2 linked regions of the Rattus norvegicus genome follow. The protein of the gene in region 2 interacts with the protein of the main gene of each other region in a biochemical or structural test. Links are inferred from orthologs where the notes say so. Each region holds a gene or a part of one and is shown on either strand. Other genes may lie near its edges. The genes, in order: Kin and Mettl22.

Region 1 (3,817 bases), on a different chromosome or scaffold from region 2:
CAGCTATCCAGTGGTATTTAAATAGATGACTTTCTTTATAAACAAATCCCCTAACACAGTAGAGTTACACAGTGCCGTGGCTAACATCAATTTGATGCTTTACAATTTCAATGTGTTATTAACAAATTGTCAAACTCAAGCAAGTTTAGATATGTCTTCATACTGAATACCTTCAAGTCTGCGCCCTTTCAAAGGTCCCGTTTCAATGACTATCGTGGCTGAAAAAGTCTTTTCATTGATGGACTCGAGGGTGCCTTCATTTCCTCTGTAGCCTCCGTTTAAAACTAGAACTCTTTTCCCTGGGGCTGGAATGACTGTCTCTAAATGAGTCTGGTCCAGTTTCAGCCTGTCTCCGGAGTCAGTCATCTTTACCACAGCTGTGTATCTGTCAATCACTTCCTTAACGACCCCTTTCTTCTTGTGGTATTTCTCCCCAAGCTTCTTCGTTATAATTTTCACAATGATCCCAGGCTGTAACCAGGAGTCTGTCCGTGCGGTCCTTTTCTTTTCCTCCTCAATCTCCATGATCTCATCCAGGGCAGACTTCTTCTTCTTCTTCGCAGGCTGAGCTGAGCTCTGTGAAGACTCTTTCCGCCTCACGGATGCTGTGCTCCCCAGCATCTTCAGTGCGCTCGGTCCCAGCGAGCTTGACTTGGACGTTGTTGCTCCCGCTGAGCTACCCGCTCCTTTATTCAGATTGAACGTGACCTTTTCTTCATCATTTTCTCGACTTAACTCTGTAAAGACAGGCGTCTCCTGCTCTTTCCCTTCTAGGCCTCTTCTCACCTGCTCCTCAATGAATTTGGCAGTTTTTTCTTCATCGTCAAGATCTTGCTTCTTCTTTTTTTCTAATTCCAGTTGCCGACGTATAGTTTCTGGGTCTCTGTCTATGTACTGAATGTACCAGCCTTTTGGTGTCTCATCCACTTTACACAAGCCTTAAAAAAAAAGTCAAAATGGCAGCATGACTATCTAGATCCAGAGTAAACTACCATGGAGAGTTCCCACCTCTGCACATTCACCCACTCAGTAACTCCAATCACTATCCACAATCACAAAGACCTGAGACAGGAGTTTCCACTTCCGTGCTCACACAACTGCACTGAGGTAACAGGTAACGAGAGACACAGAAGGAAATACTTTAGGAGCAGGAGCAACTATTCAACTACACCAGAGTCTCTGCTGTCTGATGAATATTAATCTGTTAACTCAGAATGAAGTCACATACTAAATAAGCAAAATATTGACACCAAGCTCCTGTCTTCCTAATTTCTCATCATGTAGAGATTAGAAATGAGAAAGAGCAAACTTGACCACTAACGTCAGGACAGAATGCGAAGCATTTCCTATGCCATAACCCTAACACTTAGGAGGCTGAAGCTGGAGTTCCAGGCCAACTTGGGATACATACTGAGTTCTAGAGGAGCTTGGAGTACAGTGTGAACAAACTACTGTCTCAACTAATGAAGAAAAAAAAAAGGAATGAAGGAAGGAAAGATAAATATGACCATAAGAAACAGTAGAAAGTTATTAGCAGTAATAACTTTTCTAATAATAACTTTTATTATGTTATTGTGTTATGTGTGATACACATGTTTATGTGTGGTGTGATGTGTGTATTTGTGTGATGTACACATATGTTTGTGTGGAGGTTGGAAATTTTCAATAATCTGAAAGGTGTGCCCTAAGGATCAATTTCAGGCCATCAGACTGATAACAGTTCTTACCCAAATGCAAACATTATGGTTCGGATACAAACGTCTCCCAGAGCTCATGTGCTGAGAGCTTGGTCTCCTTCATTGTCAAGTGACTGGATCTGCAGGCCCAGACTCCATCAGGGAATTAATCCATTCATGGACTCCTAATCTGAGAGCACCGTTGGGAGGTGGCAGAGACTAACAGGTAGGTCCTGGCAGGAGGGAGCAGGCCCCCATGCGCCATGCTCCAGAAGGGCACAGCTCACCGCAAACCCCTGGCCCCTTCTTTGCCTTGTCTCATGGTTCTGCTCCATCAGGTGCTCCCTGACACGATGCTTTCCCTCACTACGGCCTAGCAGCACAGGTGCCAAGTGGTCGTGAGCTGAATTCTCAGGAACTGGGAGTCGAAACAGATTGTTCTCGGGTGTTGTGTCACTGTGACGAAAGTGCCTATGTGCACTGTCAAAAGAAGTCCTCAGGCTGGCTACTGCAGCTTTAAAGTCTGTAAGCCCAGCACCCAGGAAGCAGAGGCAGGAACGTCGGAAGTTCCAGTGCAGCCTGGGCTATGTAAGGCCCAATTTCAAAAGGAAACAAAACAACGTAAGTGGCATATAGTAAGCTCACCTGAGGGACAGTACAGCCTCCTGCCTTTCTGATTGCTCTACATATCCTCCTTCTATAAAATCAGAAACAGGAAATGACGTCTCCCCTAGAAACTGAGCCATGGATCACCAGTTCCCGTTCGTTCTTCTTACCCTCTCTGCCCAGCCACTTGGTAAAGTCAGTCAGCGTCTCCCACTGAGTGGCGTTCATGTGGATGTGCTCTCGGTGGCTGATGTATTCATTGTAGACAATGTTGTTGTGGACTCTCTTAGTGCCTGAAAACAAAATATGACACTGTTGAGCCTGAAAAAACCCACACAATTATGAAATTATTATTTCTATAATATTTAAGATGGTTACCAAAGCGTCTTCTCAGAAGTTCCAGAAAGTCATTTCGGAATTCCCTAGTGAAGAAAGAAAGCCAGAGAGCCATTAAGGTACTGGCTACAAACATAATGTGCCATCTTCCTGAAGTCTGGGCAATCACAAACTTTAGTGACCAATCACCTACATTACCATGTGCCACAAACCTCTAAGAGAACAGAGAAAGATCTGCAAAGATTGGCTTTCGAAGGAAAGTGGTAAGTCAGCCTGGAGTTGAGCTGTCTGGCCTTAGTAAAGCTAGCACACGAGAGAGGATCCCCCCAGGGTCCCTGTGCCGATGACTCCAGTGTAACAATACACTCTGTCCAGGTGAGGAGGGACACACCTCACCTAAGCACTTCCAATAAAGCCAACTGAAAAGGAAAGTAAGAGGACATCATTAACAAATTTGAGAACATTATCAGAGGCGATTTTAATATGGACAGTGAACTATAACTCAAAGGTCAAAATGGAAGGCCATTGTTCCCGGTTAACAGTCATGAACACAGGGTGTTTGAGACATGACACTTAACCTACTTAGGCAGAAATCTGAGAAGAGAGATGAGGATGTGAGGAACTTCCCACAGTGAGAAGTTATGTCTGGAAGATGAGGTCTAGCCAAAGTTTTGAATCATCTTGAATGTCATGTTATATAGATCTAATTTTAGGCAGGCACTAGAAAACCATTCAAACTTAGTTTGAAAATTAGTAAGTTAAAACTGTAATTTGAAAGATGATCAGTATTATACTGTCCTAAAGAGGGGCTAGCAATATGGTTTAGCCAATAAGAGCACTGGCTGATCCTTGTGAGGACTCAGGTTTGATTCCCAGCAAACACACGGCTGCTCACAACTGTCTCTTACTGCAGTCCCAGGGGCTTCAACAGCCTCCTCTAGTCTCCATACAGGCAAGACACACACATACATAAAATAATCAAAGAAAAATGAAATAATAGTTACAAGAAAAAAAAAGCCAGATCACAAAGACAAATATGTTTTCTTTCATATGTAAAACCTAGATTTAAAGTTGTGTGTGTGTGTGTGTGTGTGTGTGTGTGTGTGTGTGTGTGTGTGAGAGAGAGAGAGAGAGAGAGAGAGAGAGAGAGAGAGGAAAATGAAGCTGATAGAAAACATGTGACATGACAAGAGAGGAGT
Region 2 (3,817 bases):
ACCAGAGCAGATAGACGGCGTTTGCTTACTCTGACCAAGTGGCTCGGGAGCACTTAGGAGCTGTGTGACAGTGGGAGAGAGCTAAGCCACCACGCTCTGAGCAATTAACTTTTGGGCTATTGTTATAGGCAGTGATGGGCCCCAGGAACCAGTTAGGGTCAAGCAAGGGCCACTCACTGTATTTAAAATGACAGCATCTCAGGGGCAAGATGGCTGAGGGTTTGTCTTTATTTGAAATACATTAAGATAATAGTCAAGAGGTCACAGAGGTGACTCATGCTGCTGGCTCGACCACAATCTTCCAGAGCTCCTGTAACAGAAACGAGAGAGTCTGAGGCTTCACAAAGCAGAGCCATACCACACCAGGGCAGGGCCAGGAGCTACTCCTTCCTGTCTTTGAGACTCTGGCCATTATACGGTGGCACAGTGGCTGGGTAGACCAATCTGGAACTAGCTACAGGATACTGGTTTGTCACATTGTCACAAGAGACAGGAATGGCAGCAAGTGGCCAGTCTTGCCATTTGGGGGCCTTAAGCACTGCAGTCTGCAGTACTCTACTTCCTAAGAAGGAACACAGGAAGCAGTGTGAGGAAGCTGGCCCTCTCCTGAGGACAAGGCCTGAGCTCCACAACCAAAAGGCAAAGGACACGAGATGCCAGATGGACTTCTGTGGACCCAGCTCCTGGTAATTTTCAGGGTAATTTTGGGTTTTCAGATTTACTCTAAGTGCTGGGTTTAGAAGCTGTAATAGCACGCGCTTTTGCTCTAAGATGCCATCCGACCCAGATCTGCCAGTTCCTGGCTGAGTGTGCTAAGACAGGGGACAAAGGTATGTGGCACTGACACATGCTGGCTACAACTGCAGCAGGATTATCAAGAGCTTAGTATGAGCCTTCGTGCTTGGCCAGAGGGGCAAGACTTCTTAGAGCAAATGTGACCATTAGCATCATGGTTAAAACCTTCAATCTGACAGGATCTACAATCACTGAGACAACCTCTGTGCGTGTCTATGGCAGAGTTTCTAGATTGGTAAACTAAGGTGGGAAGGCTCGTCCTGTACGTGGGTGGTGCTGTCCCAAGGGCTGGCCCTTGACTTGGTAAAAAGGAAAAAGGAACCGAGCGGCGTCAGTATCCACTCTCTGCTCTGACTGTGGATTAAGTCAGCAGCTGCTCTCACTCCTGCAGCTCTCATCCCGACTGTGAAGGGCTGCCCTCAAGGTGGGAGCCAGGTCAAAGTCCCCTTCCTCATGGTGAGGTCCTACCGTCCTCAGCACTCCAGATCCTTCCCTCTGACTTCCTGCTCCCCAACGACCCTCTGCCCTGTGCTGGTTTGAATTGGGAACGTCTCCCACAAGCTCATGTGTCTGAACACTTGGTTCCCATCTGGACACCCTGGTTAGGAAGCCTGTGAAGCCTTTAGGAGGTAGAGCCTTGCAGGAGGAAGAGGAAATGGGTCACTGTGTACAGGGTAGTCCTACTTCCTGTTCCCTGCTTCCTGAGACTAGACACAATGTGACCAGCTGCCACCTTCTCCTGTGGCCTAGTCTTCCCCGTCATGACGACTGTACCCTCTGGATATGAGCCAGAATAAGGCTGCTTTCTGGAGTTGCTTTGGCTACCCATGTCGCTTCAGTAGGGGGAGAGTAACTGGTGCTGCCCCCACCCCCACGCCTTCCTCTGGCGTCTTAACTGCCGTAGAGAACATGAGACTTAGTCACAGAGCTGCTGTGACCATGTGGCTGCTGAGAACAGGTTAACACCCCCTCCCCACCTTCAGAGATCACAGGGTTAGGCCTGCAGCTCCCCCGACCCTTGCTCCCCCTCAGAGATCGCAGGCCTAACCCCGTGGGGCAGACCGTAGATGGGAAGGTAGGCCTGCCCCACTGCTTTGCTTCCCACCACCCTCATGGGGCTGCATCTACCAGCTGCTGGATGCGCTCATAGCCGAGCAGCTGCGGGAAGGAGGTCTCTACAGGCTCCACCAGGAAGCGCAGTCGGCCATCAGCCAGCTTCTCCAGTGAGTCCAGGGAGGCACGGAAGTGATCGTAGGCTTCACACGTGACGTCCAAGTGTCTCAGTGTGAAGTTGAACCTGTGGATGGACCAGCAACAGCACACACATCATGGCCAGAAGAGCTCAGCTCCATCCTCACAGCTTGCTTCCTGCTCAGTGCATGATCTTGGGGCTGCCTTAGGTGTCTACGCTGCTCGCATCGCCAGACCGGCTACTGGCTCTGCTTCACAGATCCACATTATGGGAAGCTGACCTCAGCTGCCAAGATGGCACTCTGGGTACCAGTTCCTGCAAATGGATTCTGGGTGGATCTGCTGGCTGCGTGCTGAGGACTGGGCATGATTATGGGATTGGGAAACACCAGGCTGTGGCAGAGGGAGACACTGAACACACTGGGAACAAAGGCAGAGATGAGAGATGAGAGAGAGAGAGAGATGGGGGGCGTAGGGAGGAGGAAGAAAGACGGGGGAGGGGGAGGGGGAGGGGGAGGGGAAGGGAGGAGGAAGGGAAGGGAAGGGGAGGAGAAGGGAGGGGGAGGGGAAGGGAGGGAGAGAGGGAGGTAGCGCACACAGAGTTCTCTGGCACCACCATTTGTACCTTTGGACAGCAGAATCTGTAAAACAATTTACATTACATTCACCTTCTCCATTTGTCTCTCTTTTCTTTTTTTCTTCACATGTGTATGTAGCATACATGTGTGTGTTTCTATGTGTGTGTTTTCATGTGTTTATAGGGTATGTCTGTGAGTGTGTAAGTGTGGAGCCCAGAGGTTGGCATTCTCTTTTACCTTCTATGTTGACACAAGGCCTGCCTTGCACTTGCACCCAGGCTTGAGACCTGGAGGCCACCACACCTGCTGGCATTTTGATGGGTGCTGGGATGCTCATCCTTGTCTAACTAGTGTTCCACCTGCTGAACCAGCTCCATGACCCCTCCCTCCCTCCCTCCCTCCCTCCCTCCCTCCCTCCCTCCCTCCCTCCCTCCCTCCCTCCCTCCCTTCCTTCCTTCCTCAAATCTTTTATTGTGAAAAATCTCAAACATTCAAGCAATGGAGAACTGTGTAACCAGTTGCCACAGCCAGCTTCAGCCATTGCTGATTCTGGGCCACTCTGTCTCCCATTTTCCCAGAGTCCCTCCCATCTCACTCATTAACAAGCAAATGCCAGATGCCCCAGCAATTCTCCAGCAAATGTCTGCACATGTCTGGAAAAGATAACGATTCTTTCTTCAAAATGAAATTAACAACTTTTTGTTTGGTTCTTGTTTTTTGAGACAGGGTCTTTTGGCTGGTAATTTATTGGCCTGAAATTTACTATGTAGCTGAGGCTGGCCTGGAGCTCCCGACCCTCCGGTGCCATCTCCCAAGTGCCCAGCCAACTCTTTAAACATCATTTATAGAATTCAGGTTTTCCTGTCTGCCCCAAGTCTCTTGTTTACAAACTGTAGAGGGGGAATCAAGACAAGGGCCTCTCCTTCTTCTGGTCACTGTGTCTGAAGGAGAAGCCTGGTATAAACAAGCTGGGATGACAGCCCAAGGTTTAGCTCTGACTGAAAATCTGGTGTGGGAGCAGCAAAGCCAAAGTCAGGAGATGTTGTGCAGGGCCTAACACACGACACAAGGGCTGTGAGGGAATGCGTGGCTTCACAAGAGAACCCTCCTTCCTATTTTTATCACTAACCATTTCAACTTTTCATTTTTAAGTTTTGTGGAAGACACAGGAACACAGAAAACATCTTTCTCATAGAAAAACAGTAAAAGTGATGCTAACAACAGCAGGCCTTAACAACAACAGCCTGTGGGAG

Evidence for each region.
Region 1: of the proteins of Mettl22 (region 2) and Kin, one has a biochemical effect on the other in vitro, tested with the Homo sapiens proteins (2 studies listed by BioGRID). The link is inferred for Rattus norvegicus from reciprocal best matches to the Homo sapiens genes METTL22 and KIN.

What each region holds. Positions count from the first base shown.
Region 1 is NC_086035.1:73,323,232-73,327,048, forward strand, and holds part of Kin (DNA/RNA-binding protein KIN17), read right to left. Parts: intron 2,705-3,817; coding exon 2,661-2,704; intron 2,576-2,660; coding exon 2,453-2,575; intron 939-2,452; coding exon 136-938; 3' UTR 1-135. UniProt on the Homo sapiens protein: Involved in DNA replication and the cellular response to DNA damage. May participate in DNA replication factories and create a bridge between DNA replication and repair mediated by high molecular weight complexes.
Region 2 is NC_086028.1:7,620,069-7,623,885, forward strand, and holds the end of Mettl22 (methyltransferase-like protein 22), read right to left. Parts: intron 2,093-3,817; coding exon 1,924-2,092; intron 311-1,923; coding exon 275-310; 3' UTR 211-274; downstream 1-210. UniProt on the Homo sapiens protein: Protein N-lysine methyltransferase. Trimethylates KIN at Lys-135 (in vitro).